Macaca fascicularis: one gene and its partners. The protein of the gene in region 6 interacts with the protein of the main gene of each other region in a pairwise test. Links are inferred from orthologs where the notes say so. Each region holds a gene or a part of one and is shown on either strand. Other genes may lie near its edges.

Region 1 (3,957 bases), on a different chromosome or scaffold from region 6:
CACAAACTCCTGACCTCAGGTGATCTGCCCGCCTAGGCCTCCCAAAGTGCTGGGATTACAGGTGTGAGCCGCCGCACCCAGCCCTTCAGTGCACTTTTTAAGGCAAAGCATTTATCTCCTGTTCTCACATGGGAGGTAAACAGCTTCTCCGGCATCCACCCTTGGTCACGAAACTGGGAAAGAGACTCCAGATGGAGCAGGTGGATAAGAAGCAGGAAAACCTCCTTGGAAACTTGTCAAGAGTACCTCATGCCTCCTATCCCACTGCCTGCTCACATCAGTGACCTGAAGGCTCCTACCATTTACAATAGGAACATTTTTTCATGGCCTTTTATAAAACCTAAAACATCTGGACCCATGTTAGTGAGTTTGCTGGGTTTTTTGTTTGTTTGTTTTGGTGACAGGGTCTGGCTCTGTCATCCAGGGTGGAGTGCAATGGCACGATCATGGCTCACTGCTGCCTCAACCTCCTGGGTTCAAGCAATCCTCCTACCTCAGCCTCCTGAATAGCTGGGACTACAGGTGCATGCCACCCCACCCAGCTAATTATTTTATTTTATTTTTGTAGGGATGGGGTCTTACTACGTTGCCCTGGCTAGTTTTGAACTCCTAGCCTCAAGTGATCCTCTCACCTCAGCCTCCCAAAGTGCTGGGATTACAGGCGTGAGCCACCGCGCCCAGCTGTGTCTGGTCGTTGTCACAGAAATACCTGATCCCCAGGGAAAACTCAGGGTCGTTTGACTATGGGAGAGTGCTCCAGCATTTTCAGGTAAGTAATCTTCTCACCAGAGCTCAGTCACTCACACAACACAACTAAATAAGCACTCAGCAGACCTTTTCAATGATGAATGCTTTGACAAAGAAAAAACACCCACAACATTCTCACCCCAAAATGGCTGGCCCAGTGTCCCAGGTGTGCAGGAGACACCGCACTAGCCCCTCTGTCCATTCACCTGGACCTTCATGGGGTTTGGTGTGAGGATGTTCTAGGAGGGCCATCCTGGAGTCCGAGGTCAACTTCAAAAAGGGTTTGGCTTCCCCAATGGCCCACAGGCTCCTGTGCCCACAATACACCTTGCCCACCCACAAGCTGTGCTGTCAGCCAGTACTGCCCTCTTAAGGTCACACGTTAACATCTCATAAAGTGTAATTCCAGAAAAAAAGTAGCCCTTCATTTATTTGCCTCAGAACTGAGCACTGTAAGTTGCAGGAGATGGTTGCGTGTGTGTGTGTGACTGCTGTGCGTGTGCTTGGGGGTGTGGGGACAGGGTGATGCCAGCAAGTCTATATCCTCCTCTTTTAAAACACTCCACTCCCGAATTCATTCACTCATTTAGTTCCATCCTACCCTCTCCCAAAATGATTTGGGGAACCTCCCTCCTCCCCATTTGTGATGTTGGAACTTTGGCCTCTTCTCTGGGTGCACCCCTCCCCGTCTCATTGTTGACTTATTGAGAACCCCAGGTTTTTAGCCTCTTCTTTGAGGCTGCCCACCCCCTGCCCCCCCATGCCCGGTCTTGCATCCCACTTACGGGCATCTCGTGCACGGTGGGGGCTCTGCTCCCATAAGCCTGGTTACTGGTCGTGTACACCGAGATAGCCTTCTGGGTCCTGGTAGATGAGAAACACTCTCTTTTCGTTCATTTAATCTAATTCTGCACAAGCCACAGCCTTGCATTTGGTTGACAGCACTCCACTGGAAATGCCCCCAAAGAAAGAGCAATGTGCCTGGGCTGGTGATGCAGCCTCAAAGGCGGCCTCTGGGAGTACCTGGCTGATGACCGTTCTGAATGGCCCGGCCTCCCCTGCCCCCTCTGCTCACCACGGTCCCTGCTCTTCCAAGGCAGGCCAAGCCCTAAAGAGCAGGCAGCCAGCAAGTGCTGACCCCCAGCCCTGGCAGGACCTTGGCACATGCTGCAATTTCTGGGTAACTTAGCCTGTCAGGAGCGGAGGCTTGGCCTCCAGACTCTGCCACCCAGAGGGTCCCTCTGCCTTTAGCCCCCACCCTCGCTGAGGTGATGCTTCTCTCGGTACCACTGCCCCTACCTGTCAGTAGGACAGGCTACTGAGAGGCTGCAGGCCCACACCTTAGCTCTACTTTATACTCCTAGATCTTGGCCAAGTTGTTCTTTCTACATTCCAGTCGTCTCAATGGGAGAACGAGGATACTAACAGACCCTGCCCTAGAGGACTGTTGAGGGACCACATGTGTGAGCACGGCAAGATGCTTGCACCTGCCTACAGGAATTTTTTTACTGCTTCTTAGCCTGCAATGCCCTGTGGCAGCTCACAGCTGGCTGAGTAGACTTGCTGCAGGTGCTGCTGTGCTCACGCCCCGCAGCAGGGTTTCAGGGTAGAGAGGCGAGGAGACTCACCCGACACAAAACAGTGGAGCTGAGACCACAACTGGGTTTTCTCCCCCCTACGGCCCTGCCCCTCACTGACCCTATTCCCACTTCCTTGTATGAGGCTCTGGGGAGCACTTTCGTTGCTCACTAGTGGGCGATGACAGCGCGGGCCCCAGATGACCCCTCGATCCTCTTGATTTCTGCAGCTAGGACCTTGGGGGTCTTGCGGGGTCTCTCACACACGGGGCTATCGAGCAGTGGACGCCAGGACCAGGCGCGCCCCAGCTTCCTCACCTGTAGCCCCGGAACCACCCTGGGTTGTTGAACCTGCCCGGCAGGTCCGCGCTTACGCGGTAGTAGTCGCTGGTCCTCTCAGGCGGGGCCGTGGCCTTGGGCTCCACAGGCTCCGCGCACGCTCTGGGGCTTTCCTCCGCCATTGCGCCTCGAAAAGCAGGACTCGGCGGCGTCCTGTTGCCAAGCGACGGCCAGGTCACGTGACTGGGCGGAGCGGAGGGGCCTTAAAGGCGCCGCGCGTGGGCGGTGCTCCTCCGCGGGCGGGTCGGGAACCTGCCGAGCGAGTCCCCAATGACTGGGAAGGTCGGGACGGCGAGAGATTCCCTGCTGGGACCGTTGTATGGGGCAGCCCCTGGCCCCCAGCCACCCGCGAGGGGACCGGGTCACCCCAGCATGAGGGTGTGGACTCCCGGGCGAAAGGAACCCCAGGGCCTGGGACCCCGCCAGCCGGGTGATGGGGTTTAAGCACTGCAGGTCCACTCGGCAGACAACGATTGGACGCTTGCTGTCCAATGTACTCCAGGGATGATATGCCCCTCAGCACCCCGAGTCTAAATTGAGACCCGAGATCTTGCTAACTTTATGAAATTCTCCTAAGTCAAATATCGTTTAAAGATTAAAAACATGGCCGGGCGCGGTGGCTCAAGCCTGTAATCCCAGCACTTTGGGAGGCCGAGACGGGCGGATCACGAGGTCAGGAGATCGAGACCATCCTGGCTAACACGGTGAAACCCCGTCTCTACTAAAAAAAATACAAAAAAACTAGCCGGGCGAGGTGGCGGGCGCCTGTAGTCCCAGCTACTCGGGAGGCTGAGGCAGGAGAATGGCGTGAACCCGGGAGGCGGAGCTTGCAGTGAGCTGAGATCCGGCCACTGCACTCCAGCCTGGGCGACAGAGCGAGACTCTGTCTCAAAAAAAAAAACAAAAAATAAATAAAAAATAATAAATAAATAAATAAATAAATATTAAAAACAGTTTTGGAGCGCGAGAGGCTGCGCGGGACGTGGTTCACAGCTCACGTGGCGGGAGGCGAGGGTCCCCATCGCCCAGCGGGCTCCCCCAAAGGTCAGGGGCCTCCCGGGCTGGTGGGGCCCATTAGCGAGGCGGGGCGAGCTGCAAGGCGAGGACGGTGGCCCCACTCCCGGCCCGAGACTCTCAAGCCCGGGACCCCGGGCCCTGCCCCCTCGTCTGCCCCGCCCCCGCAGGGAGGTCCCAGCCGCCCGCGGACGGCGCTGTGGCTCCTCCGGGCCTGTAGGTGGCACTGCGGCCCCGCGCGGACGGCGGCGGGAGGGGAGGCCGCTCGGCCCGGCTCGGA
Region 2 (4,089 bases), on a different chromosome or scaffold from region 6:
AGAGCCCCACATCTGAGGAGCCCTCCCCATCCTCCTCCCTAGAGAGAAGAGGGTGGCTCGAGTGGAGGGGCTCCCCGGAACCTGACACGTGTCCCCCGGCATAGGCAGATGGAGGAGACAGCCTTGGACTTACCAGTAGAGACAGAACCGTAAGCTCATCTTGCATGGGAAAATCCAGGCATAGCCCTTACCACAGCATCCCTTCCTGCGAGGAGACAGGGTCCGAGCCCCCACTGCCTTTTGCCCTGGGTCTCCCGTTTGCTCCCAAACTCCTCACTCTCCTTTGGCCACCGCCCAGAGGGCCACCGAGGGCCGCAGTTCCCTAGCCAGTCCCGGCGTCTGGCCACCTCCTTAACTGGCCAACCCCGTCTACCCTAAGTTTGCTGGATGTGGTGGCGGTTGTGGGAGGGGAGCCGAGCAGTGGGGACAGGAGGAGCCCGGGAAGGGGACAGAGGAAGCCCCAGCGCTGCCCCCACGAGGCCGTGGTTGGTCTGGCCTGTCCTCACCTGTCTCTCAGGACTTGCCAGTTTATCTTGGGCTCTGCCAGCTCCATGAGCCTCCTCCGCCGCCTCTTCCTCCTTGCTTTGGCCATGATGGTGCTGGGGAACTTCTGGCTGATGGACAGCCGGCTTTGGGAGAATTCCATGTTGAAGTTGGAGCTGCTTTCTCGCCCCGACGCGTTTGGGGGCCCAGAGAAGCGTAGGTCTTGCTCGAGCGCCCTGCCCACCCGCCTCTCCTTTCCTGAGAAGGGTCTCTGGGGGAGGACTTTGGCACCACGAAGGCCTGGACCAAACCGCAGCTCCACTGCTGGCTGGATGGAAGACCCTGGCCAGGGCACCCGGCTCCCCAGGCCCTCAGCCGCCTCCTCTGTGAACTGGACATGAGACCAGCTCCCACCTGGTGGGGCTGTTTCAGTGAGTTCTAAGATAATGTTTGCGCATCTCACAAACATTTATCAAGTACCTACTGTATGCCAGGCCCCAGAGGGGCCACCAGCCTCTAAAGAGAGCAGCGCCTGCCTCCCAGAAAGCTCACAGACCGCGGGAGGGACACAGGCAGCAGGCGAAGATGCCAAACGTCAGGACGTCTGCCCTGTCGCAGCTCTTGGCTCCCGTGTCCTCCCCGGGAGCCCCTCACACTACTGCCGTTTTCTCTGCAGGCTAGCACGGCCCCGTGAGGACAGGGCCGCTGCTTTGTTCTTGGGCAGCACGGAGACCACGGTGAGAAGGGAGCACCTGGGTGTGGGCGTGGGCCGGGACCACACTGCAGGGAGGGCGGGAGCCAAGTTCCAGAGGTAGGTAGAGTGCGCGCCTTGCTGCGGACACTCGGGCAACTTGCCCAGAATCACTGCCCCCAGTGCCGATTCGCTGAAGCGTTCGTTCACCCTGAACGTGTTCCTCCCGACCATTTAAAACGTTTTAGCCACCTGTGGTGCTTAGAATTGTTTCAGCTTTTGAGTTGGGAGGCTTTTTTTTCCCATTTCTTTTTCTCGCTGTCTGACTTGAGGTCATCACTTGTTAAACTGTGAACTCTGGGCACCTGAACTCAGTCTGCCTGACTCCAAACTCAGCGCTGTTTACTCCACCTCCTGCCACTGGCTAGGGGAGCGTGTGCTGGTGTTTGCCTCAGGGCCCAGTGAGGGGTGCTGGCCGCCAGCTGACCAGGCCCACACCTAGGCTGACTCGGCAGCCTGGGCCCCTCGGCGAGCCAGGCCAGCGGCCGGGAACAACGCTTTCGCACGCCCAGGGGGCTGCTGCCCTACCCCACCGCGCCCGGGCAGGGCCGCTCCGCGGTGCCCACCTGATTTCAGGAATGTCCTCCTCTAAGTCCTTGTCCAGAACTCTCTCCAACTCAGAAAGAGCCTCTTTGGGATCCAGGGTCTCCGAGAACTCCTCCCCGGCCACCTCCTCGGGGGGAAGCTCCTCTTCTGGGTCCTCCGGTCCCAGCTCCGCATTGTCCGGGTCCTGGTGTTCGGGGTCTGTGACCCGCCGGCTCTCGTACACAGAGCTCTGGAGGCCACGGGGGTCACCGCTGAGCTCCCTTTCCAACCTGCCTGCAGCCTCAGAGCTGGGCTGGTTCCCGAGTGACCTTCGCCTGCTGTCCCCCATGTACAGGTCCCTTCCCAGCCCCCGCGGCCTCACTCCCTCAGCACCCAAATGTGTCTGTGGTGGCCGCGGCAACAGGAGAGTGTCCCCCACATTCTCCACAGTCCACATTCTAACCCCTGCGCTGTCTACAATGCCGGTCACCTGGGCTTGCGCTGGCATCAGGACTCAGTCCTGGCAGTCGTGGCTCACAGGGACCTCCCAGGACTGGTTTAGGAAGGAGGCCTGAGGGGACCCTGCAGGGGTTATCTAGATATGGCTTCCCTCTCTTAAAAGGAGACACAAGGAAAAGACCGCGTTTCCCGTTCCTGTCACTGCTGGGCCCGTCTGTAATGTCCAGAGCCCAGGCAGCCGCCTTGTGACCATGAGGCCTGCCAGCCTGAGGGCAGATGGACTGAAAAGCGGGTCTTTGATGCCCTTGTCGAGCCTCTGAACTTAGCAGCTCTGGAATCCACCCTGTGTCCAGGCTTCTCGTTACTTGAAACAATAAGTGTCCTCAGTACTAAGTGGTTTTGGCGAAGTTTCCAATCCGCAGCAGCTAGAACTGCACCCTCAGGGACACAGACCCTTCCGGCTCCAACCTCTCCTGAGAAATAACTTCAAACTAGGCTGTTCGATTCTCACAACAAAATCATGGTTATAACTGGAGTATTCCCCAGGCTGCAGCCTTCCGGACCTCCTTGCAGCTCGTCAAAGGAGCTGAATTTCCCGCCTCTGCCACACCGTGCCCCACACAGCCTATCCCCCTCCGTGCCCCCCTAGCCTTTCCCCCTCTGTGCTGTGCCCCCACCCAGCCTTTCCCTCTCCGTGCCCCCCTAGCCTTTCCCCCTCTGTGCTGTGCCCCCACCCAGCCTTTCCCTCTCCGTGCCCCCCTAGCCTTTCCCCCTCCGTGCCCCACCCAGCCTTTCCCCCTCCGTGCCCCCCTAGCCTTTCCCCCTCTGTGCTGTGCCCCCACCCAGTCTTTCCCTCTCCGTGCTGTGCCCCCACCCAGCCTTTCCCCCTCCGTGCTGTGCCCCCACCCAGCCTTTCCCTCTCCGTGCCCCCCTAGCCTTTCCCCCTCTGTGCTGTGCCCCCACCCAGCCTTTCCCCCTCCGTGCCCCCACCCAGCCTTTCCCCCTCCGTGCTGTGCCCCCACCCAGCCTTTCCCTCTCCGTGCTGTGCCCCATCCAGCCTTTCCCCTGTGCCTCTGCCCAGCACTTCCCCCTTCTGTGCTTGGTGGTTTTCTACTCATCATTGAAGACTCAAGCCTGTCGGTCCCCCATGCAGGGAGAGTCCCTGACCATCCCTCCCCTTTCTGGGCTCCCAGGCCTAAGACCCCCACCCCCACCCAGTGCTAGCCCACCCCAGAGTCCTGCTGTGTCCCTCACCCCTGCCACCAGTGTGGGGCCAGCCGTCCGGGCATGTGACCACTTGGCACACAAGAGACCCAGTTCATCAACACACGCAAAGCCCTCTCCAGCTCCCCGTCCCATCTCCCGGATGCGCTGCTCCCAGACGCAGCCGCGCCATCACCGCTGTCGGGAAAGGGGTCTCTCGGAGGACTCCAGGCAGAAAGGTCCCTGGGAGGGTCTGGTCCCATCCAGGAGGCCGTGGGAAAACCCCCCTTCTTGGCCTGAAGTTTCCTAAACCCTCACCTTGCACTCAGTGACTTATTTTTCTCTTTTTTTTTTTTTTTTGAGACAGAGTCTGGCTCTGTGGCCCAGGCTGGAGTGCAGTGGCGCGATCTCAGCTCACTGCAAGCTCCGCCTCCCGGGTTCACGCCATTCTCCCGCCTCAGCCTCCGGAGTAGCTGGAACTACAGGCGCCGCCACACCCGGCTAGTTTTTTGTATTTTTAGTAGAGACGGGGTTTCACCGTGTTAGCCAGGATGGTCTCGATCTCCTGACCTCGTGATCCGCCCGTCTCGGCCTCCCAAAGTGCTGGGATGACAGGCCTGAGCCACCGCGCCCGGCTATTTTTCTCTCAAGTTAAACCTGACCAAGAT
Region 3 (3,951 bases), on a different chromosome or scaffold from region 6:
TATTGGAAGAAGAATTGTCTTAGGCCACACATACTAACACTAATGATAGCTGATGAGCTAAAACAGTTACAAAAAAGGCTCATAATGTTTTAAGAATGTATATGAATTTGTGGTGGGCCACATTCAAAGCCGTTCTGGGCTGCATGCAGCCCACAGGCAACAGGTTGGATAAGCTTGCCTTACTTATATACGGTTCACTATGTGTTGGGCACTCTTCTGGGAACTTATAGGTATTTATTTATTTAATCCTCACAATACCCTATGACATGCATGCTATTATTATTCCAATTGTATAGATAAGGCAACTGAGGCACAGAGAGGTTAACTAACTTAAGATCAATCAACTAGCAAGTGGCTGAGACGTGATTTGAACCCAGGTAGTCTGGCCCTAGAATCTTTACCCGGCATCATATTTCAAGAGTCCAAACCCTTGAACCCCTGCCCTCCCATGTCTTCTTCTCCTCGGGATGAGCCTGCAGTCAGAGTGTACCCCAAGTTTTCCTGAATGGGCAAAGGCTAGCACAGGAATTTGGACCTCACCTGATGGAAGGTGGTTCCATCCAACCGGACCCCATCTCGGAACCACAGCAATTCAGGGGTAGGGCGGGCATCCCCACGGCTCCGACATGTCAGGTTCACAGGAACTCCAGCAATGAGAGACACAGAGGGGCCGCCCAGCACCTGGGGAGCTTCTGGGGGGACTGCAAGGTGGATTTGGGGTCAGAGATGGATCCGGATCCTCTCAGCTCCAATTGACCACTCCCCTGGGCTCCCTGGACTCCGCTACTCACAGCTAGTACTGGTTGCCCCCTTGGGCTCCCAGGGGACAAGTGGGCGAGGTCCTTACCCAGCACGTGCAGTTGGGCTGGTCTCGAGCGGAGGCCTGCTTGTGTAGCCTGACATTCATATGATGCTTCATCCTCTAGCTCCACGGGCCTAATGTGGAGGTCATGCTGGCCATTGGCTGCATTCCCTGATATCCAGTACCGGGACCACCCTGGAGTCAGGGAGGAGGCAGCACGCCATGGTTCTGACTGGTCCACACATTTGGTGGTAAGACACTATTAAAGAGTGGGTACTGTGCCCATAGAGACTCTAACTCCCTCCCAACCCAGAGTCACTGCAAACTTGGGGGTAATAAATTCAGAAAGGAAAGCAAGAAAATGATTGCCATAAAAGTTAGGTTAGATACTACTTCTGGAGTGAGGGGGAGGGGGGCTATGATAGGGGAAAGGAATACGGGGGCTTCTGGGGAGCTAGCAGTGGACTTGGGTATTGGCTGTGTGAGTGTCTATATTATTTGGTAAACCTTCCGTTTATGTTTACTGTACTTTTTTGCATTTATGTTCTCTTTCTTTCTTTTCCTTTTTTTTTTTTTTTTTTTTTTTTTTGAGACACGGTCTCACCATTACCTGGAGTGCAGTGGCTTGATCATGGCTCACTGCAGCCTTGAACTCCTGGGCTCAAGGCTATCCTTGAGCAATCCTACCACCTCAGCCTACTGAGTAACTGGGACTACAGATGCACATCACCATGCCTGGCTAATTTGTTTAAAATATATATATTTTTTCTAGAGATAAGGTCTTGTTATGTTGCCCAGGCTGGTCTCAAACTCCTGGTTTCAAGCTATCCTCTGGCCTCAGCCTCCCAAAGCGTTGGGATTACAGGCGTGAGCCACCGCACCTGGCCTGTTTACTATTTCACAATAACATAATAATTCCAAAACTCTATGGGTCACCCCCAAAGAAGCAGCTCAAAAATCAGGACTCCTAAATGTTTACCCAAGTCCATCAATTTCCCAAACTTAAAATGTCAAAATAGAAACTGCAGGTACAGCCGAGCCCAGCAACTCTACCCCTAGCCAGCCCGTCCCAGCGTGGAGAGAACCGTCTTACCTGGCAGGTCCCTTTGGCCCCCTAGGGCCAGCCCACTCTTAGTCCACTGAACTAGCCCCCAGTAGGCGCCCAGAGCACACTGCAGCCGGGCTTCCTCCCCCAGCAGCACCACCAGGTCCTCTGGCTGTTGCAGGAAATGGGGCGACGGGCCTAGGAAAGTTGGGGGCAGCAGGGCTGAGCTTAGCACCTTCAAGAGCCCCCTCATTCAGGACCCAGGGGTCCCAGCCCCCAACTCCCTTCTCTCTAGTGAAGGGGCAGCCTGCAAGCAATCCCCCCACACCCACCCCATATTCATCCGCTCCCCTCGTGCGGTACCTGCGCTCCCTCTGAAGCAGAAGAGCAGAACGAGGAGGGCGGGGACCCGCATCTTGAGCGTGTGTCCCCCAAGGTTCACGAGATCTGCCGTCGCACGGGCCTCCCGGTCAACTTCTTCCTCGGAAGCCCTCCTCCTGTCACTCTGGCCCGGAGCCCCCGTCGCGCTTGACTCTTCTCCCCAGCCTAGAGAACCCCTGTCTCTGGCCTGGAGTCCTCCAAGTGAGCTCATCCGCAGCCTCTGACGCTCTGAAACGCCTGCCAGTTCCGCGCCCTGGGTCTCTGGGAGACCCCTAGAGGGCCCGATCCAGCTCGCCCCGCCCGGGTCCGCCTCCCAGGAGCTCCGCCCTCTTCCCATTGAGAAACTCCCGCCGCTGGACGCAGATGAATGGGGGATGCAGGGCGGGGTCCCCCGGCGGGTGGGCGCCCCCAGCTCAATTGGGGTCTGGGAGCCGGAACACCTGGGTTCGAGGAGGGAGTCCCGGCTGGGTTGGACACCTGCGCCCTGTCGAGGTTGAGGGGCACGCATGGGGGTGAAGAGGAGGGAAGGGAAAGAGTGGAAGAAACTTGCTCAGCCCAGGTCCTGGAGGGACTGCGCTCAGTGGAAACCGAGCTATAAATGGGGGCCCCTGGGGCCTCACCAGTTTCCGCGCCCTGGGGGAGGCGGGGTCCGGGGCTCCCCTGGCTTGCGGGTCGGGAATAGGGCACGCCGATACCTGGGGGACAGTTGGGACCCCTGTCTTGACTCCCCCAGCCTCAAAACCCCTCCTCAAAGTGGGGAACAGAGGGCTGTTCCCTTGTTACTGCTGCAAACGTCCTAAGACCGAGGAATCCAGGACCCCGGCCCCTCCTTTCCCAGGACCCCGCAGTCCCGGCCCAGCCCCTCTCCCCACTCGGCCGGCCTGGCCCCTCCGCCTGGTTGCCGGGCGACGGCTGGGAGGCGGCGGTGCCGGGCCGGGGCAAGCAGGGAGGCTGGGAACCGCGCAGCTTGTCCTGACGGCTCCATGCAGCCCAGCTGGGGCGTTCCCACGCTGCGCAGCTGGCCGAGCAGGTGGGAGGGACCTCGAGCAGCCTGAAGGAGGGCTGGGGGGCTGGGACCCTGATCTGACATTCCTGGATCTGTAAGAACTGGGGGGTCCACATTCAGATTCTACGCTGTTCTTAGGCTCAGACTCTGTGTCCCTAAATGGCAGGGTGGGGTTGGGAGTAGGGGTTGGACTTACAGGATTGTAAGGGACTGGTGGTTCAGGCCTTTGCTGGCTGAGACGCTGATGGCCTGATCTCCTGGTTCCTTGAGAGGCTGGAGACTCAACTCCTAGGTCTCCTGCCTGCAGCATGGTGCACTTGGAAGAGGGTGACAGAGGTCAGAATATCTGGTCTTAAGTCTTAGAGTCGGTGGATTTAACTGCCAATCTCTCCCCACCCCCACATGGGCCCAGGAGGATTTGGAAATCAGACGGTGAACATCTGTCCTAAGTCCTGTGTGTGTGTGTGTGTGTCTGTGTGTGTGTGTGTGTGTGTGTGTGTGTATGCGGCCGGTGCGGGGGGTGGGAGGGATGCAGGGATGGGTAGGGTGGCCAGGAGGATCAGAGGCCCAAATTCCTGAGTCCTTGGAGAGAAGGGACTGAGACCCCAGGGTCTGAGAGGGGAGGGATCTGGGGGCCTACACTCCTGGCTTCTATGTGGCATATCTAGTGCCTGGATTTTGAAATACGATGGCATGAGGCCGGAACTCCTGAGTCTT
Region 4 (4,001 bases), on a different chromosome or scaffold from region 6:
TAAATATAATTTACTATTAGATCAGGTAATCATTAGTTACTAGACTTTATCAACACAATTTTGTACCTTTCCAGTTATATATGTCTAACCTGTAGGTTGAATGTGGAGATGAAACACAGAAAGCAGGGAACCTACATTAGTGCAAATGACACTGTTTTAGTCTAGACTTGGGATTTAATATCTGCTCTCCTAACTTCCTACTCAGGTTCATATTTAGGGGAAGAATTACAAAATTACCAATATGTTGACTGCAAATATTTTTCAAACAGAATTTGGCCTGGAAAATAGAAATTTATTGACTTGTTTTAATTCCATAAAATCTCCTCACCGAAATATAAGACATCAGAAAAATATATAACTTTAAAAAATGAAAATAATCTTCTTAGATGAAATAGATGATAGATAGATAGATAGGTGATTATACAGAGATGAGACAGAAATGGAGTATGTGTGAACACAATTCAATAGCCCCTTTAGTGAAAAAAATTTCCACAGATTGCCACTATAATACAGCATATCAATATTCTTTCCTGATGAAACAAGCCAGGGATACAGAGTTAAGCCTCTATTAGGAAACAGAGAGGCTCAACAGATCCATTATGGATTTTATTTTCCAGCTTGATTATCCTGAGCTCTTGGGAGTGCTACCATGACCAACGCTGCATGAGTGCAGTTCTTGTCTTTCCCTTTTAATAATCTGGACACATTCTGATTTCTAGATTGTTTCACAGAGTATTTTACAGTCCCACTTTGCATTTTAAATGGAAAAATCCATGGATAATTATGCATCTTTCTCTTTAAGACATGTGAATGACCGCTTTAAGGACTTTGTTCTCTCTGACTTTTAGTGGTATGCAAACTATGTCCTTATTTTCTTTTGAAAAGATGCCAGCATATTGAGCAGGATGGAAACAACAAACATATTGGATTTAAAAATGTAAGTATTTTCAGCTATTTTTTCAGAAATCTTACTAATCCTTATTTTTTTATTTTAGTGATGTTAGTCCATTATTTAATTAGATTCTCCTCAAATGGCATAGGCTGTGTCAGGCATTTATTTTTACCCCTGATTACAAGTGAAAAAAATTGATGAAGTAACTTGCCCAAGGTCGTTCGATTTGGTATTTGATGGAGCTGCGGTGAGAATATGGGAGATCGTCATGAGAATCCTCATGATCTCCTTGTTATTTATTTTCAATGTGATTTTGTCACTTCAGACATAAGCATGTTTTCCAGTTGGGACTCTAAAGCACATGAATCAGCTTTCACCATTTATTCAGTTACCTAAATCTTTTTTTTTTGAAACAGAGTCTCTCTCTATCACCAAAATCTTAAAACTCTCAATGGGGATTTGGATAAAAAGGGAATTCCTCAGTAGGAGCATTGCATACTCTTAGTGCACACTCACGCTCCATTTTTTAAATCGTGTCTTGTCACCTATTCGTCTGTCATAAAAAATTTCCTAAGGGGAAAATTCCCATCTATGTGCTTAAGAACTTGAAGACCATAAAGAACATAAAAATAGGCCATATAGAAACAACCAAAGGTTATCAATTCTGCAGACAGTAGACATGAAAAATCATTCCAGGCAAGATTTGCTAGGTACCAAAAGAGAATGTGAGGCTTTCTGAATGAGGCATCCAATAAGGGAAACTTATTTGTGTTATTGATCCAGAAGGTGAAGGAAAGGGAAAACAATATACATATGCATATATATATATATAAAATAAACATATATTTTTCTAAGTGAAGATGTCTGTTTAATTATCATTGTGGTCATGATAAAACATTTTACATGGCTTATAAAATATTCCAGGATAATTTATAGCCACTTCAGGCTCAGAGCTTCCAATCATAATGGGAAAGAATTCTGTTAGTTCTGCAGATGACCATGAAGAATGTGGGGTTGGGAAAAGGGTGACTCATCCACTCCAATGTACTGTAATAAATCAATTCTGTTTAGGGTGGTTTCAAAATTCATGTTAGAATTAACTCACTCTTAAAGTGCTGCTTTCAAAACCACAAAGCCCGGTGCATAAAACTATACTGGAGAGAATGATTTAAATTTAGAATTTAACTGAAATGCGATTGCTATCATTTATCACATTAGTATCTATATAATTTTAATGGTCTGTCAAAGCTAGGTATAAATATTGAAAGCATTACAAACTGAGCTGAAACAAAATGATTTATCCTTCTCATATGGAATGGTGAAAAGCCCTTTGTACAGTTTATACTCCCATTCTAATGCACCCAGAATACTTTCAATTGACATTCAATCCTCTTTGAAAGATTTGAGTTTTCAAAGATAGCCTAAATTCCTCTACATTTCAGTAATTTAGAAACTTTCTGAGATCATGGAGACAGTCAGATAAATCTATTAATAATGCTCCTTGGTCCAGATACACACATCTCATGCTGGGTTTTATGTTTACCTGCATAGTATCTTCCATACCAGTTTTCTTGTAAAGGTGGCAGCTGCCCTTCCAAGGCTTTATTCTGGTCCTGCAGTCTTGCCAGTGAATGTGAAGTCTTTTCTTCCAAATTCTGATTGAATGCAAAGTCCACAGGGCCAGCTGAGGGAGTCTCTACCTCTTTGTTTTGCAAAGGTGCTACTTTGATCACCCTCGGGTGAGTCTTAGAGTGACTCAGGCCCATTTCATGTGAAAGACATTCAGAGGAAAGCTGCGAGGAAAGTGGTTTTGGGGTCTTTAATATAGCTTGTTTTAATCAAGGCATTTCAGAAGTTTACCCTGGCTTTACAAAGCAGTCATTTCCTTCATGGCATCCTTCTAGCTCTGTTTCACTGCACACTAACCCTTTTGGCCACTTCCTGGGAGGCTGGTTTCCATGGAGACTTCCCTTCAACTTTGCCATTTCAGACCCAAAGAATCCAGTTAAACATTGACTTGGTTATGCTGCTTTCTGAAATACTCAGTGATAGGAATAGAAGCCACTATTGATCATTAAACAAATATCTAACACCAGGAAGATTATTAACACAGAGAGAGATGTAGAGCAGAGGTTTAGAGAAGTCTTAAACTTGACGCTTTCACTGCAAGCACCTTTGTAAAAAAACTAACAGCTGAGAATAGCTAAGCCATCTTTGCAACTAAGAGGATGCATGCTAATTACCAAGGCGTTGTTAATCTTTAATTTAATTGAAGAATTTATCCTCCAAGTAGGAAAGAAAGCAGCGGAGTGGCTAAAGCGTCATTTGATTTTTCTGTTGATGACTTGAGTTGCCTTTGAAGGGGATGAATACATTGCAGGACAGGAGGATAATAGAAACTTTTTTCCTGGGGATGAGGGGAAAAACTTCTTAAACATAAAAAGATAGCCTATTTACTATGTTTTTAAATTTAATTAAATTCATTTATTTATTTTTGAGACAGAGTCTCACTCTGTCACCCAAGCTGGAGTGCAGTGGTATGATCTTGGCTCACCACAACCTCTGCCTCTCCAGTTCAAGTGATTCTCCTGAGTCAGCCACCCAAGTAGCTGGGATTATGGGCACCTACTACCACCACACCCATCTAATTTTTGTATTTTTAATAGAGAAGGGGTTTCACCATGTTGGCCAAGTTGGTCTCAAACTCCTGATCTCAAGTGATCCACCTGTGTTGGCCTCCCAAAGTGTTGGGATTACATGCATGAGCCACAGTGCCCGGCCTATTATGATTTTTAAAGTAGAAAAAAGACTAGAAGGAAATATGCTGAAATATTGAGTAGTGATTTTTGAATGGTGGGATTATGGGTGATTTTTATTTTATTCTTTATACTTAGAAGTGGGACTAACTTTCAAGCTCTAATTGTTCATGACCACAGATTACTTGTGTGTTCATCACATCTCCATAGAGAAATTAAAAGAAAATGTATTTTTCATCTTTGCAGAATCCATTTCCTAAGGGACTAAGGTGGTGTTTGGAAAGTCTTGGTAGACAATCACATTTATCTAAAAAGATGCCTGAATTTAGTTTTTTCCTTATTCTCTTTGCATT
Region 5 (4,274 bases), on a different chromosome or scaffold from region 6:
GCTGGGATTACAGGTGTGAGGCACCGCGCCCGGCACATGTTTAGTCTTTACAGCAAGCTTTTGATCAACGAAGAAATACTAACAAGGGACAGCTCTGTGGTTTCTGCTATCGAAAGTTTTGTGGTTTTTCACTATCAAATTCTGACTTCCATTACCATCACCTACGTACAAATCCAGTTCCAACTCCCACCCCAATCCAGGCCATGAGCTCTAATGGAGGATTATCCATCAGGGTCATTTGAACCTTTGCTGCCAAAACTCAATGTAGTACCCTAAAAATAGCAGATTTTTTTTTTTTTTTTTTGAGACGGAGTCTCGCTCTGTCACCCAGGCTGGAGTGCAGTGGCACGATCTCGGCTCACTGCAAGCTCCGCCTCCCGGGTTTACACCATTCTCCTGCCTCAGCCTCCCAAGTAGATGGAACTACAGGCACCCACCACCGCGCCTGGCTAATGTTTTGTATTTTTAGTAGAGACGGGGTTTCACCGTGTTAGCCAGGATGGTCTCAATCCCCTGACCTCGTGATCCACCCGCCTCAGCCTCCCAAAGTGCTGGGATTACAGGCGTGAGCCACTGCGCCCGGCAAAATAGCAGATATTTTAAAAATGATCTGACGAATTCAGACCCCCGTCTACCGCACCGCCTCCACACTAAACCGCGCTCTTGCACCTTTCAAGTCTTCCTTACTGGTGTGCTCCCTACCTCCCCGGCTTATCGAAGGAGGTCCCCCAAACCCCGTTCCCCAACCAAGTCCTGCAGTAACAGCTTCTCAGGACCGGGGAGAGACTGCTTGTGGGTGCTGCTGAAAAGGAGATGGGTTGAGAATTGGAGCCCATATTCAGAGAGACTGAGTACCCGAGTGGAGCCATTCCGACCAGCCCTGACAGAAGCAGAACTCTGAATATGCTGGTTTTAACTACATCAAAGGCTCCAAACCGGAAAAGACAAATATTAACTGGAAAGCATTATATGTCATTTTGTGTATTTACCGTCTTTTCCGGTAGACAGTAAGCTCCACAAGGGCGGAGCTCAGTAAACATCTACGAGTGACTTAAACGAAAGGACGTGCTGGGCACACCGCGGGGACTAATCGCGTTAGGCCCCTCTCCAAGGCCTATGATCCCCACCGGCAACTCGCCGCTCCCGAAGCTGAACTCCGCGCAGGGCCCAAGGTCGGGCACCCTCCGGCTGAGGTTCACGACACACCCATCTTCCCCTCCCTCCGCCAGGGCCGGCTCGGGGGCCCGTTCCCGCCTCGCGCGCCAGCCCCAGTCGAACCCGGCCTGCACCTTCATCCCCAGGACGTCCCGATAGAAACGCGCCGTCTGGAAGCGGTTTCCCACTTTGAACACGAAGTGCAGAGCTCTGCGAGCAGCCATGACTCCCGCGCACGCAGCCGTCACGCGCACGGTACCGCCCCGCCCACGACGGGCGCCCCGGGCCGTGACGTCACTGGCCGCCGACGGCGCGCCTTGGTGACGCAGCCCGGGTCTCAGAGAAGATGGCGGCGCTGGTGAGACGCTCGAGGTTTGTCGTGCGGCCGCTGCTGCAGGTGGTGCAGGCTTGGGACCTTGACGCGAGGCGCTGGGTCCGGGCGCTGCGGCGGAGCGCAGTGAAAGTGGTGTTTCCTTCCGGAGAGGTGGTGGAACGGAAGCGCGCTCCCGGGAAGCAGCCACGCAAGGCAGCATCTGAGGCCAGTGCCCAGGAGCAACGAGAGAAATCACCGCTTGAGGAGTCCACATCCCACGCTCCCAGCACCTGGGAAGAGTCTGGGCTTCGCTACGATAAAGCTTATCCCGGGGACAGGAGGCTGAGGTGATGTGGGTCTTGAAGCCTGTCGAATGTTCTCGTTTCCCTTCCCGCCTCACAGCGGAGCCTTAACCTCCTTCTCCGGATGGAGGACTTCTTCCAGTACAGCCCGCTGGCTTTTGTATTATGCACAGAGGGCCGAATAGTGTCTTTGGAATTAGCTTCTGTTTCCCCTCAGCTCTTTGTTGTTGTTTTTGTTTCACCATGTTGGTCAGCCTGGTCTCGAACTCCTGACCTCAGGTGATCCGCCCGCCTCGGCCTCCCAAAGTGCTGGAATGACAGGCGTGAGCCACCGCGCCCGGCCCTCTCCTTGGCTCTTTATTTCTGTTACAACTAAGCGTGTCTTAGTAACAAGGATGTTGATAGTTACCTGTTTTTTTATTTCCATCTACAGCAGTGTAATGACAATAGTAAAGTCCAGGCCGTTTCGGGAAAAACAAGGGAAGATCCTGCTGGAAGGTCGCAGGCTCATTACAGACGCTCTCAAGGCTGGAGCTGTGCCAAAAATGTTCTTCTTTAGCCGTCTAGAATACCTAAAGGAGCTGCCAGTCGATAAGCTGAAAGGTGTCAGCCTCATTAAGGTGAAATTTGAGGATATCAAGGATTGGTCCGACCTCGTAACACCACAAGGAATAATGGGTCAGTGATTATTACACAGTGTATCTTTTTTTTTTTTTGTCTTGCTCTGTCACCCAGGCTGGAGTGCAATGGCGCAATCTCGGCCCACTGCAACCTTCGCCTCTCAGGTTCAAGGGATTCTCCTGCCTCAGCCTCCCGAGTAGCTGAGACTACGGGCATGCACCACCACGCCTGGCTAATTTTTGTATTTTTAGTAGAGATGGGGTTTCACCATGTTGGCCAGGCTGGTGTCGAACTCCTGACCTCAGGTGATCCTCCTGCCTCTGCCTCCTAATGTGCTGGCATTAAGCATGAGCCACTGTGCCCAGCCTTACACAGTGTATCTTAAGGTGTGGAGACCTAGGATTAATTTCTCATACTTGTCTTAGGACAGCAGATTTCATTGAAATGAAATTCAAAATGTTACAATTAGAAAAACATAATTCTCAAACCTGTGTATCTTAGAATATTTTCAATGGAAATTGAAACCCGTTTTTCACTATCATTTGTGTTGTGGCTCTTTATAATCTCTAGGAAGAACCACTATTCCTCAAACCTTGTATTTTTTAGATTACGTCTTCAACTTTTTATGTCAGATTAAAACTTAAGAAAATGTTTACTAAAAGAGTTAGCCCTTCATTTCTGCAAAAACTCTGCTGATGTGGTGATCACTGTTAATAAATTCCTTATTCTAGAAGCAGATCTAAGAAGTGAGGTATAAGCCATAATATACTGCCCTGTTTAGCCCAATAAACGGAGAACCTTGTCTTCTAGTCTGTTTCTTCATTTGGCTGAATCTAACTTAATCTTACTTAATGTCGATTAGCAATTACAAAGTCTTTGGTCTAAATATGAGAAGATAAGTTTTTCATACGTTTTTGACATTGGAGTTTTATTTAAGATATGAAAACTGAATCCTTGAACTGGGGACCATCTCTTGTTTCTATAATCCAGTGAGTCACAGGGATCTGTGCCTCTACAATCAGAACTCTTAGATCCTAGGATGGGGACTTGGATTACTAAAGTACCTGGAATTACTCATGCTAAGTAACCATATTCTCACTAGAAACAGCCCTCTAATCCACACTTGATGCTTCAGTGAACATGTCATTCATTTTTACTGAGCTTGTCACTTTGGGCACGTGTGCTAACAGTGGCCATCCCATCTTGAACTTCATCATTATACCTGCTTTCATCATTTCCTGGCTTTATAATTTTTATATTATTTAGCTTATCCTTATGTTACTATATTTTAGATTTGAGGGCAAGGAATAAGGGAGAAATGGATAGGAACTGGCAGCACCTGTCAGGCTTTAGACAGACACTCTGGAGAATCCAGTGACGTAAGTAGGGTCTCTGTATGGTGGGTTCTTATCACCATAGACATTCAAGTAGAAGTAAAGGACTTCTAAGATCCCCTGCCCTACTGAATGGCTTGTGGCCATCTGTGACTCGGAAGTGGAGGCTCTCTCACAGCACACAGACGCCTAATACCCTTCCGTTGCCTTCAGTAGTGGGTAGGCTTTTTACCTGCACTGTCTTTAGAAAGAATCCTAAATCTTTGATTGTATCATGTTTCAGTACAAGTACTACTTCATCTCCTGACTTCAGTCAGTAGCCCATTTATTGGAGCAATTATATATGACAAAATACTAGTAAGATTCAAAAAATCTGTACAGTCCCTTGGGAGCTGACTACAAAGGGTTTGAATATTTGGTAATGATACATAAAGAGTTTAAGGTAGTGCTTGGCCTAAAAAAAAATGTTTGCTAAAAGATTTATCTTTTTCTAAATGTTTACTAAAAGGTTATCATTATCACCTCTACCAGGAAACATGGTGATTCAAA
Region 6 (3,202 bases):
CTTGCCTTTTTTGGCAAAAAACGTGCGGTCGCGAGCGGATCCCGGGCCGCCCTCGTTAATCCTTGGGAAGAGGGGGAAGGGGGCTGAGAGGGTCTAGGCCCAGACTGGGGATCGGAACCGGGTCCTTGCTCTGCGGGCTTTGGGAAGGGCTGTTGGCGGAGGGGACTATTGGTACCAGCCAATTAAGGCACCCCATCGCCACCCTCGCTTTCGTCTGGAACCTCCCCCAAACCCCTCCCTTCCCTGCATGGAGGAAAAAGCCCTCTGCCAGCAGGGAGGCAGGCCGAGCTCCAGAGGGACGGTAGCCGTGGCGGGGATCCCCTTCATGGGGAGAGACTTCCCACCCCGTGGCCCGGCCCCCCTCCACCCCGCCCTGCAAGGACGAGGTCTAGAAGAGATTCTGAGCCTCCCAGTCTGCAAAAACCCTTCCTTCCCCTTTATACCCTGCGCGCGCACGCGCGCACACACACACACACAGAGGCACACACGGAGGCCCCTGCTTCCTCACACCGCTTTATTGCAGAATCTGGAAGGGGGGTGAGCCAATCTCACCCCTCTGCCCATCTATGGGCAAAATGGAGCTGAAATAAAATGAGAAGACACTCGGTGGCCACCAGCTGGGCAGCACCCTGTACCCTAGGGCCCCCTCATCGGTGGGCCCCTGATCGCTGTCCCCACAGCCTCAGCCCCGGGGGGATGGGGTGGGGCAGGTCAAGCTTGAGAACAGTCCACTTTTGAGGACTTCTCAGGCACCCATAGGAGACCTAAAACCTATAAAGAGAAGTCTAGATTTAAGGGGGCCTAAGTCCCAGAGCCCAGGTTTGGAGGGCTGGGGTCTAGAGCCCTGATTTGGGGAGAGGACTCAGTCTGGGAACCCAGACTGCAGGGGAGAGGGTGAGTTCTGGAGTCCAGGTGTGGGGAGGCAGCTTGACTCATGGAGGCTCTATAAGAGCCCAGGTTTGGGGGCCTGGGTCAGGGAGTACCAGTTTGGGGATGCTGGCGTGGAGAAACAATCCTGGAGCCCAGAGGGCGACCCATTTTTTTTGGTTGGGGGGTGGGGCTAAGTCCCAGAGGTGGTTTAGAAAAGGAGCTACAGTCCTGGGCCCGTGGTATGGGAAAGCCTGGGTCCAGGAGCCTGGCTCAGGGCCCTGCCTGGCTACAGCCCTGGCAGAGCACTTGGTCTCCATCCGGCACGAAGCCTTGGCCCACCAGGGAGGTAGAGCAGCGGGCGCAGGAGAAGCAGTTGTGGTGCCAGTGTCGGTCTTCAAAGGACACATACTTGCCTCCACCGAGTCCTGGAGGGAGGCTGGAAGTTAGCTCTGCAGATCTAGGGATGGTCCGGCCCTCAACTTCACCCAATACCACATCCCATTCCCTTGCCTGCACCCTACCCACTCCGTTCTTTGACCCTTGTCCCACCTACGATGGGGCGCTTGCAGCTGCTGCACTTAGGTGCAAAGAGTTCTCCAAAACAGGCCACACAGTAGGGATCTTCATCCCGGGAGGTGAACTGCTGCCCTGCCAGGGGCGTCTGGCAGCCGGTACAGACCAGACATTCTCGATGCCAGGGCTGATCACGGTATGTCACTCCACCCTGTGTCAGCGTCTGTGGGGGCAGCATTCATTAGTAGGTATGAGTGGGGATTCCCACCCCACGACAGGCCTTACTCACCCCCACCTGGCTGGCCCAGCCCCCACCTTGCTGCAGCGGGCGCAGCGAGGAGCAAACTTGTTCTCATAGCAGGGCACGCAGTAGTGAGCACCCTTGTCGGGCACAAAGGAACGGGAGCCCAGCGGCTGCTCACAGCCACTGCACAGGAAGCAGTGCTCATGCCATGTCTGGCCTCCGTACTCCAGCTTCCGGGACCCTGTGGGGAACAGGGGTCCCATTTAGAGGCTGTGTCCCATGCTCCTGAGGGCCACCCTCTGTAACTTCCCCGGGAGTCTCCACTCCTCTCGCAGCCTGAGCAGGGTGGTGTCCAGTGCACATGCAGCAAGAACCCCCCTGCCCCATGTACATTACACATGCTAACCTCTCCCCAGACACCGGACATGATGACCCAGCTAGACACGAGGATTTTGGCATATGTTAAGCCCCCATATGTCCCAGAAATGACAATTTCAGCACATATCGAGCCTCCATGTAACAGTCATGAAGTCTCACTATGAGCTAAGCCCTCATATAACAGATGTGATGATTTCAGCACTCACACGGGACCCCACATGTACCAGGCAAGTAAGTATATGCCCTAATGCCCTCGGCATGACAGGTTCAGTACATGCTAAGCCCTCGCATCTCCTTGGCACACCATTCTCCATAGGTACTGAGTCCCAACATTTCTATTAGGCATGCAGGTCCCCACACATGTTAAGCCCTCTGTTTACCTGCCTCTGCACACACTAAGACCCAATGCAATAAGCACGACAGTCTCAGCACACCTCTAGTTCCTACATGTACTAAACATGCAGATACTCACACATGCTAAGCCCCCAAGTATGTATCACATGTGTCAATCTGCCTGCACATAGTAACCCCCAGTATACCAGGCAAACAGATCCTGCATATACTAAATTTCCAGAAACATGCTGTGTGTGCAGGTCTTTACACAGACCAAGTCTCCATGTATCAGACAGACACATGCAAAGACCCTACGCAGATGCCAGGCATGCCAGTTCTTACACAAGATGAGCCCCTGAGGACATACCAGGCATGACAGTTTCCCCACAGGCGGAGCACTGCGAGGAAAACGCACTGCAGTAGCAGTCATTGCAGAGCAGCTCACTGTCCTGGCAGGTGAAGGGTTCATCGGCTAGTGAGCGCTGGCAGCGGCAGCAGCGGAAGCAGCCCTCGTGGAAATGGCGGTCTTCATAGAACAGCTCCTGTGGCGAACACAGCGGGGGCACTGGCACCCAGGCCTGGTGGATCCATCCTTTGCCCCCTTCCACTGGTCACCACCCACCTCCTGCCTGGCCTGGCCCTCTCCTTACCCTCGAGTCATGCCCGATAAGCTGCTGGCACTCGGCGCAGGTGTTGGCAAAGGTATTGTCATAGCAGGGCACACAGTAGGGGCCGCTGTCTGTCTGGATGTACTTGCGTCCATACAGGGACTCGCTGCATTTTGCACAGTCAAATGACTCGCTCATCGTGGCAAGGAGAGAGAACCCTGTTAGGAGCACAAGGTGGAACTGGGGTCACACAGAG
Region 7 (4,227 bases), on a different chromosome or scaffold from region 6:
TCTTACCTTCTTTTTTTTTTTTTTTTTTTTTGGCAGCTTTTTTTTAAAGTAGATTGTTGGTTGGGCTCAGTGGCTGACACCTGTAATCCCAGCACTTTGGGAGGCCAAGGTGGGCGGATCACTTAAGACCAAGAGTTCGAGACCAGCCTGGCCAACATGGTTAAACCCTGTCTCTACTAAAAATACAAAACATTAGCTGGGCATGGTGGTACATGCCTGTAGTCCCAGCTACTCAGGAGGCTGAAGCATGAGAATTGCTTGAACCCAGGAGGTGGAGGTTGCAGTGAGCTGAGATTGCGGCACTGCACTCCAGCCTGGATGACAGAGTGAGACCCTGTCTCAAAAAGAAAAGAAAAATAATTACTTTTGTTTTATTGATGAATAATAGATGCACCAAGTTTCAGGGTACACGTGATAATACATTCATATAATTTGTAAGTATATCTGCAATATTCATCACCTTATATATTTGTGTTTTCTTTATGCTAGAACCATTTGAATTCTTCTCTTATAGCTATTTTGAAATGTAAAATAGCTTATTGTAAGCTATAGTCACCCTACTGATACTACTAAGTCTTACTTCTATCAAACTATATATCTGTACCTATTGATCAATTTATCTTCATCCCTCCCACTCCCTTCCCCCTGCTTACATTCTTTTTATTCTCTTTTTTTTTTTTTTTTTTTTTTTTTGAGATGTTGTTTCGCTCTTGTTGCCCAGGCTAGAGCACAGTGGCGCCATCTCAGCTCACTGCAACCTCCGCCTCCTGGGTTCAAGCAATTCTCCTGCCTCAGCCACCCGAGTGGATGGGATTACAGATATCCATCACCATGTCCAGCTAATTGTTTGTATTTTTAGTAGATACAGGGTTTCACCAGTTGGCCAGGCTGGTTTCGAACTCTTGATCTCAGGTGATCCACCTGCCTTGGCCTCCCAATGAGCTGGGATTACAGGCGTGAGCCATGGTGCCTGGCTTTTTTTTTTTTTTTTTTTTTTTTTGAGACAGCCTCATCCTGACACCCAGGCTGGTGTGCAGTGTCACAATCTTTGCTCACTGCAACATTTGCCTGCTGCGTTCAAGCGATTCTCCTACCTCAGCCTCCTTAGTAGCTCGGATTACAGGTGTGTGCCACCATGTTCAGCTAATTTTGGTATTTTTAGTAGCGATGAGGTTTCACCATGTTGGCCAGGCTGGTCTCAAAATCCTGACCTCAATCGATCCGCCCGCCTCAGCTTCCCAAAGTGCTGGGATTACAGGCGTGAGCCACTGCGCCTGGCCTCCCCTTACATTCTTAACCTTGGGGTTGACACAGATAGATCAGCTCCAGGGAGTTATCCAGGTAACTGGAAAGACACACTAAGGTTTTTTTTTTTTTTTTTTTGAGACGGAGTCTCGCTCTGTCGCCCAGGCTGGAGTGCAGTGGCCGGATCTCAGCTCACTGCAAGCTCCGCCTCCCGGGTTCACGCCATTCTCCTGCCTCAGCCTCCCGAGTAGCTGGGACTACAGGCGCCCGCCACCTCGCCCGGCTAGTTTTTTGTATTTTTTAGTAGAGACGGGGTTTCACCGTGTTAGCCAGGATAGTCTCGATCTCCTGACCTCGTGATCCACCCGTCTCGGCCTCCCAAAGTGCTGGGATTACAGGCTTGAGCCACCGCGCCCGGCCCACACTAAGGTTCTTAATGTCTACATTTAAACTATCCCAGACTCAGTATCCTGCAAAATCCATACTCTAGCCATCCATCGAACAGGATTGCTGAAGAAGAAATTAGATGTAATGTGTAAATAAATCAGCCCCTTGGCACCAGAGAAATACATTATGGAGTTGGGTGGGCTATCCAATCCCTCCGGGTCGCGTCACCAGCACACTAGGGGAGAAGTCTACTCACTATTCTCCACTGTAGGATCGTAGCCTTCCGAGAACTCGCCTTCCACAAATTGATGTGCCAAAGATGTCTTCCCTGTGGGGAGCAGTGTGGCAGCTGTATCCAAATCATCCATCCACATTCACATCCTCTGTCCTTTCGGACTGTGGCCCAGGACCAAAGGGTACCCCAAATTAACACCACAGTCTGTGAGTGCCTCAAGCAATCCTATCCCTTGTGTCTACCCTCACCGTCTTTTCGCCCGGGGTCTCCGCACTTTGGCTACCGGATGCATTCAGAAGCGCAGCAGGAAGCCTTTCCCGCCGCCTTCCCCACCCCATCCTACCCGCAGGAATATCCAAGATTCCCCAGGATCGAGTCCGCCCCGCCCCAGGACACCTGCGACTATCTGTCCCCACGGAGACCGCATCCCGGTTTTCAAATTGTGACCCCACCCCTATCCCCAAAGTAACGCTGGGACCACTCTGAGATTACCGCAGCCAGGTCTTCATTGAGCCTTAAGTGCTTGCGGTTCCTGCAGCCTCCACACACCACCAACCTTTATTCCTCCACTCTTCCAATCCTCGCTCTACAACCCCATTCTTACGATGTCACCATTCCTCCCTGGGTCGCGTTCCCACGGCAGCGCGCCTCTTCTGGCCACAAAGCTGCTGCGCGTCCGAGTTCTGCAGGGCGGAGACTCACCTACAGAGCGGTATCCGAGGATGACCACCTTCCTGTAACGGACCAGCGGCATGGCAGGAGCCCGCCCCAGGGGCTTGCGGAACTGCGGGCTGAGAGAGCCCGAAGACGAGGTCAGGGTGTGGGCAGGTGCAGGAAAGTCGCTCACCCAGAAGCTGCCGCGGGCAACTTAGAGGGAAACCAAAACAAGCGCCGCGCCCGGAGCTGCCCACGTGATCACAACACAGCACGTCTAACGCGAGGGAGCCCGGCGCCGGGGGAACTACTGTGCCGCGCCGCGCCGGGCTCCGCCCCTCAGGCCGCTCGCCATTGGTCCATTAGAATGGGTAAGGGCGGTGCCGCCAGCAGGAGGGAAGGGTGGGCCTCACGTGGAGCGGGAGTACTGGGAGCTGCGCGTGCGCAGACTGGAGCCGGTTCATTCATAAAGAAACAGAAAGGAACCCGGGGTCCTAAAGGCGTTTGCGCATTTGCAGCCTAGCTGAAGTGGCTGCGAAGAATTATGGATGGAAAATACCCGTTGTGTGGTTTCTGGCCATAAGATTCTAGCCCTTTGCATGGTCTCTGAGGTCCTTAGATACGAAGAAAAGGGCCGAAGTTCCAATATATTCCCTCTGCTTCCCCAGCCTTCAGCCCCAGACCTATCAAGGTTTCCAGTCCTCCAGCATCTGATTTCAAACTGCAATTCTTGTTCTTGCGGAAATTGCTAGAATTTATGATCAAGTAGTCTGAGGTTTCTTCTTCATCCTCATGATCCTCAAACATTCATTTTTCAACAAATACTGAACATATACTATGTGTTTCAGGCATTGCTCCAGCTTTGGGGTCAGAACATGGACATGAAAGACAATGTGTCTGCTCTTATGAAGGGGGAAACAAACATACAACAAGGAGATATCAGATAGCGTTAAGTGCTATAGAAGATGGTGTGATAAAAGATGACCACTTTATTTTTTAAAGACAATACAGCATTTTTAATTTTTATTTATTTATTTATTTTGAGACAGGGTTATGAGACTGGCTAATTTTGTGTTTTGGGGAGAGACGGGGTTTTGCTATGTTGCCCAGGCTAGTCTCGAACGCCTGGCCTCAAGTGATCCACCCGGCCTGGCCTCCCAAAGTGCTGGGATTATAGGCGTGAGCCACCGAGCCTGGCTGAGATGACCACTTTAGATTAGTAATACTTTCTCCCATAGGAAACCCCATTTAAACTAAGATCTGAAGGAACCAGTTAGCAGATTTCAAAAGAAGAATCCACCAATGCTAAGGCGATAAGATGGAAATAAATTCAGTAAATTCCAGGAAGAGGGGAAGAAAAAAAGAAAGCCAGTTAGCCTAAAGCAGATGAAGTCTAAGAGAATGGCAGAGGCCAGGCCACATAAAGAAGTCTGGGCTAATTCTAAGTACTTGAAGGTATTTAAGCTGGGGCATGACATGATCTACATTGTCTTTCTAAAAAATCTCCCTGGCTTTGGTGAATGGATTGGGGTTTGAGGGGAACAGGAGCAAGAGGAAGCAGGGAGATTGGCGAAGAAACTGTTACCTGTAGTCCAGATGAGAGTGGCGTGGCTAGAGTGATCATGTTGAATGAAGTTGAGAATTCAGGATATTCTGAAGCTAAGGTTAAAATGACTTGCAGAAGGATTGGTAGAGGAGGGAAGAAA

The links.
Region 1: the proteins of FHL3 (region 6) and PIERCE1 interact in binary tests that used the Homo sapiens proteins (3 or more experiments, as listed by UniProt). The two-hybrid records come from large-scale screens. The link is inferred for Macaca fascicularis from reciprocal best matches to the Homo sapiens genes FHL3 and PIERCE1.
Region 2: the proteins of FHL3 (region 6) and SPMAP2 interact in binary tests that used the Homo sapiens proteins (3 or more experiments, as listed by UniProt). The two-hybrid records come from large-scale screens. The link is inferred for Macaca fascicularis from reciprocal best matches to the Homo sapiens genes FHL3 and SPMAP2.
Region 3: the proteins of FHL3 (region 6) and KIRREL2 interact in binary tests that used the Homo sapiens proteins (3 or more experiments, as listed by UniProt). The two-hybrid records come from large-scale screens. The link is inferred for Macaca fascicularis from reciprocal best matches to the Homo sapiens genes FHL3 and KIRREL2.
Region 4: the proteins of FHL3 (region 6) and CCDC198 interact in binary tests that used the Homo sapiens proteins (3 or more experiments, as listed by UniProt). The two-hybrid records come from large-scale screens. The link is inferred for Macaca fascicularis from reciprocal best matches to the Homo sapiens genes FHL3 and CCDC198.
Region 5: the proteins of FHL3 (region 6) and MRM3 interact in binary tests that used the Homo sapiens proteins (3 or more experiments, as listed by UniProt). The two-hybrid records come from large-scale screens. The link is inferred for Macaca fascicularis from reciprocal best matches to the Homo sapiens genes FHL3 and MRM3.
Region 7: the proteins of FHL3 (region 6) and RHEBL1 interact in binary tests that used the Homo sapiens proteins (3 or more experiments, as listed by UniProt). The two-hybrid records come from large-scale screens. The link is inferred for Macaca fascicularis from reciprocal best matches to the Homo sapiens genes FHL3 and RHEBL1.

The regions. Positions count from the first base shown.
Region 1 is NC_088389.1:3,874,236-3,878,192, reverse strand, and holds the start of PIERCE1 (piercer of microtubule wall 1 protein), read right to left. Parts: upstream 2,801-3,957; 5' UTR 2,786-2,800; coding exon 2,643-2,785; intron 1,612-2,642; coding exon 1,533-1,611; intron 1,152-1,532; exon of another isoform or gene 569-1,151; intron 1-568. UniProt on the Homo sapiens protein: Microtubule inner protein involved in the attachment of outer dynein arms (ODAs) to dynein-decorated doublet microtubules (DMTs) in cilia axoneme, which is required for motile cilia beating.
Region 2 is NC_088393.1:936,302-940,390, forward strand, and holds the start of SPMAP2 (sperm microtubule associated protein 2), read right to left. Parts: upstream 2,801-4,089; 5' UTR 2,268-2,800; coding exon 1,801-2,267; intron 1,295-1,800; exon of another isoform or gene 1,214-1,294; intron 630-1,213; coding exon 507-629; intron 206-506; coding exon 134-205; exon of another isoform or gene 43-133; intron 1-42. UniProt on the Homo sapiens protein: May be involved (but not essential) in spermatogenesis.
Region 3 is NC_088393.1:43,085,595-43,089,545, reverse strand, and holds the start of KIRREL2 (kin of IRRE-like protein 2), read right to left. Parts: upstream 2,801-3,951; 5' UTR 2,737-2,800; coding exon 2,211-2,736; intron 2,046-2,210; coding exon 1,896-2,045; intron 998-1,895; coding exon 848-997; intron 702-847; coding exon 541-701; intron 1-540. UniProt on the Homo sapiens protein: May regulate basal insulin secretion.
Region 4 is NC_088381.1:125,322,274-125,326,274, forward strand, and holds the start of CCDC198 (factor associated with metabolism and energy), read right to left. Parts: upstream 2,801-4,001; 5' UTR 2,659-2,800; coding exon 2,436-2,658; intron 1-2,435. UniProt on the Homo sapiens protein: May be involved in tuning the metabolism, energy expenditure, and excretion processes.
Region 5 is NC_088390.1:895,048-899,321, forward strand, and holds the start of MRM3 (rRNA methyltransferase 3, mitochondrial), read left to right. Parts: upstream 1-1,474; 5' UTR 1,475-1,501; coding exon 1,502-1,815; intron 1,816-2,203; coding exon 2,204-2,448; intron 2,449-4,274. UniProt on the Homo sapiens protein: S-adenosyl-L-methionine-dependent 2'-O-ribose methyltransferase that catalyzes the formation of 2'-O-methylguanosine at position 1370 (Gm1370) in the 16S mitochondrial large subunit ribosomal RNA (mtLSU rRNA), a conserved modification in the peptidyl transferase domain of the mtLSU rRNA.
Region 6 is NC_088375.1:196,916,442-196,919,643, reverse strand, and holds the end of FHL3 (four and a half LIM domains protein 3), read right to left. Parts: intron 3,165-3,202; 5' UTR 3,145-3,164; coding exon 2,989-3,144; intron 2,881-2,988; coding exon 2,706-2,880; intron 1,869-2,705; coding exon 1,699-1,868; intron 1,607-1,698; coding exon 1,420-1,606; intron 1,296-1,419; coding exon 1,141-1,295; 3' UTR 501-1,140; downstream 1-500. UniProt on the Homo sapiens protein: Recruited by SOX15 to FOXK1 promoters where it acts as a transcriptional coactivator of FOXK1.
Region 7 is NC_088385.1:55,885,050-55,889,276, forward strand, and holds the start of RHEBL1 (GTPase RhebL1), read right to left. Parts: upstream 2,801-4,227; 5' UTR 2,622-2,800; coding exon 2,570-2,621; intron 2,523-2,569; exon of another isoform or gene 2,424-2,522; intron 2,029-2,423; coding exon 1,889-2,028; intron 1-1,888.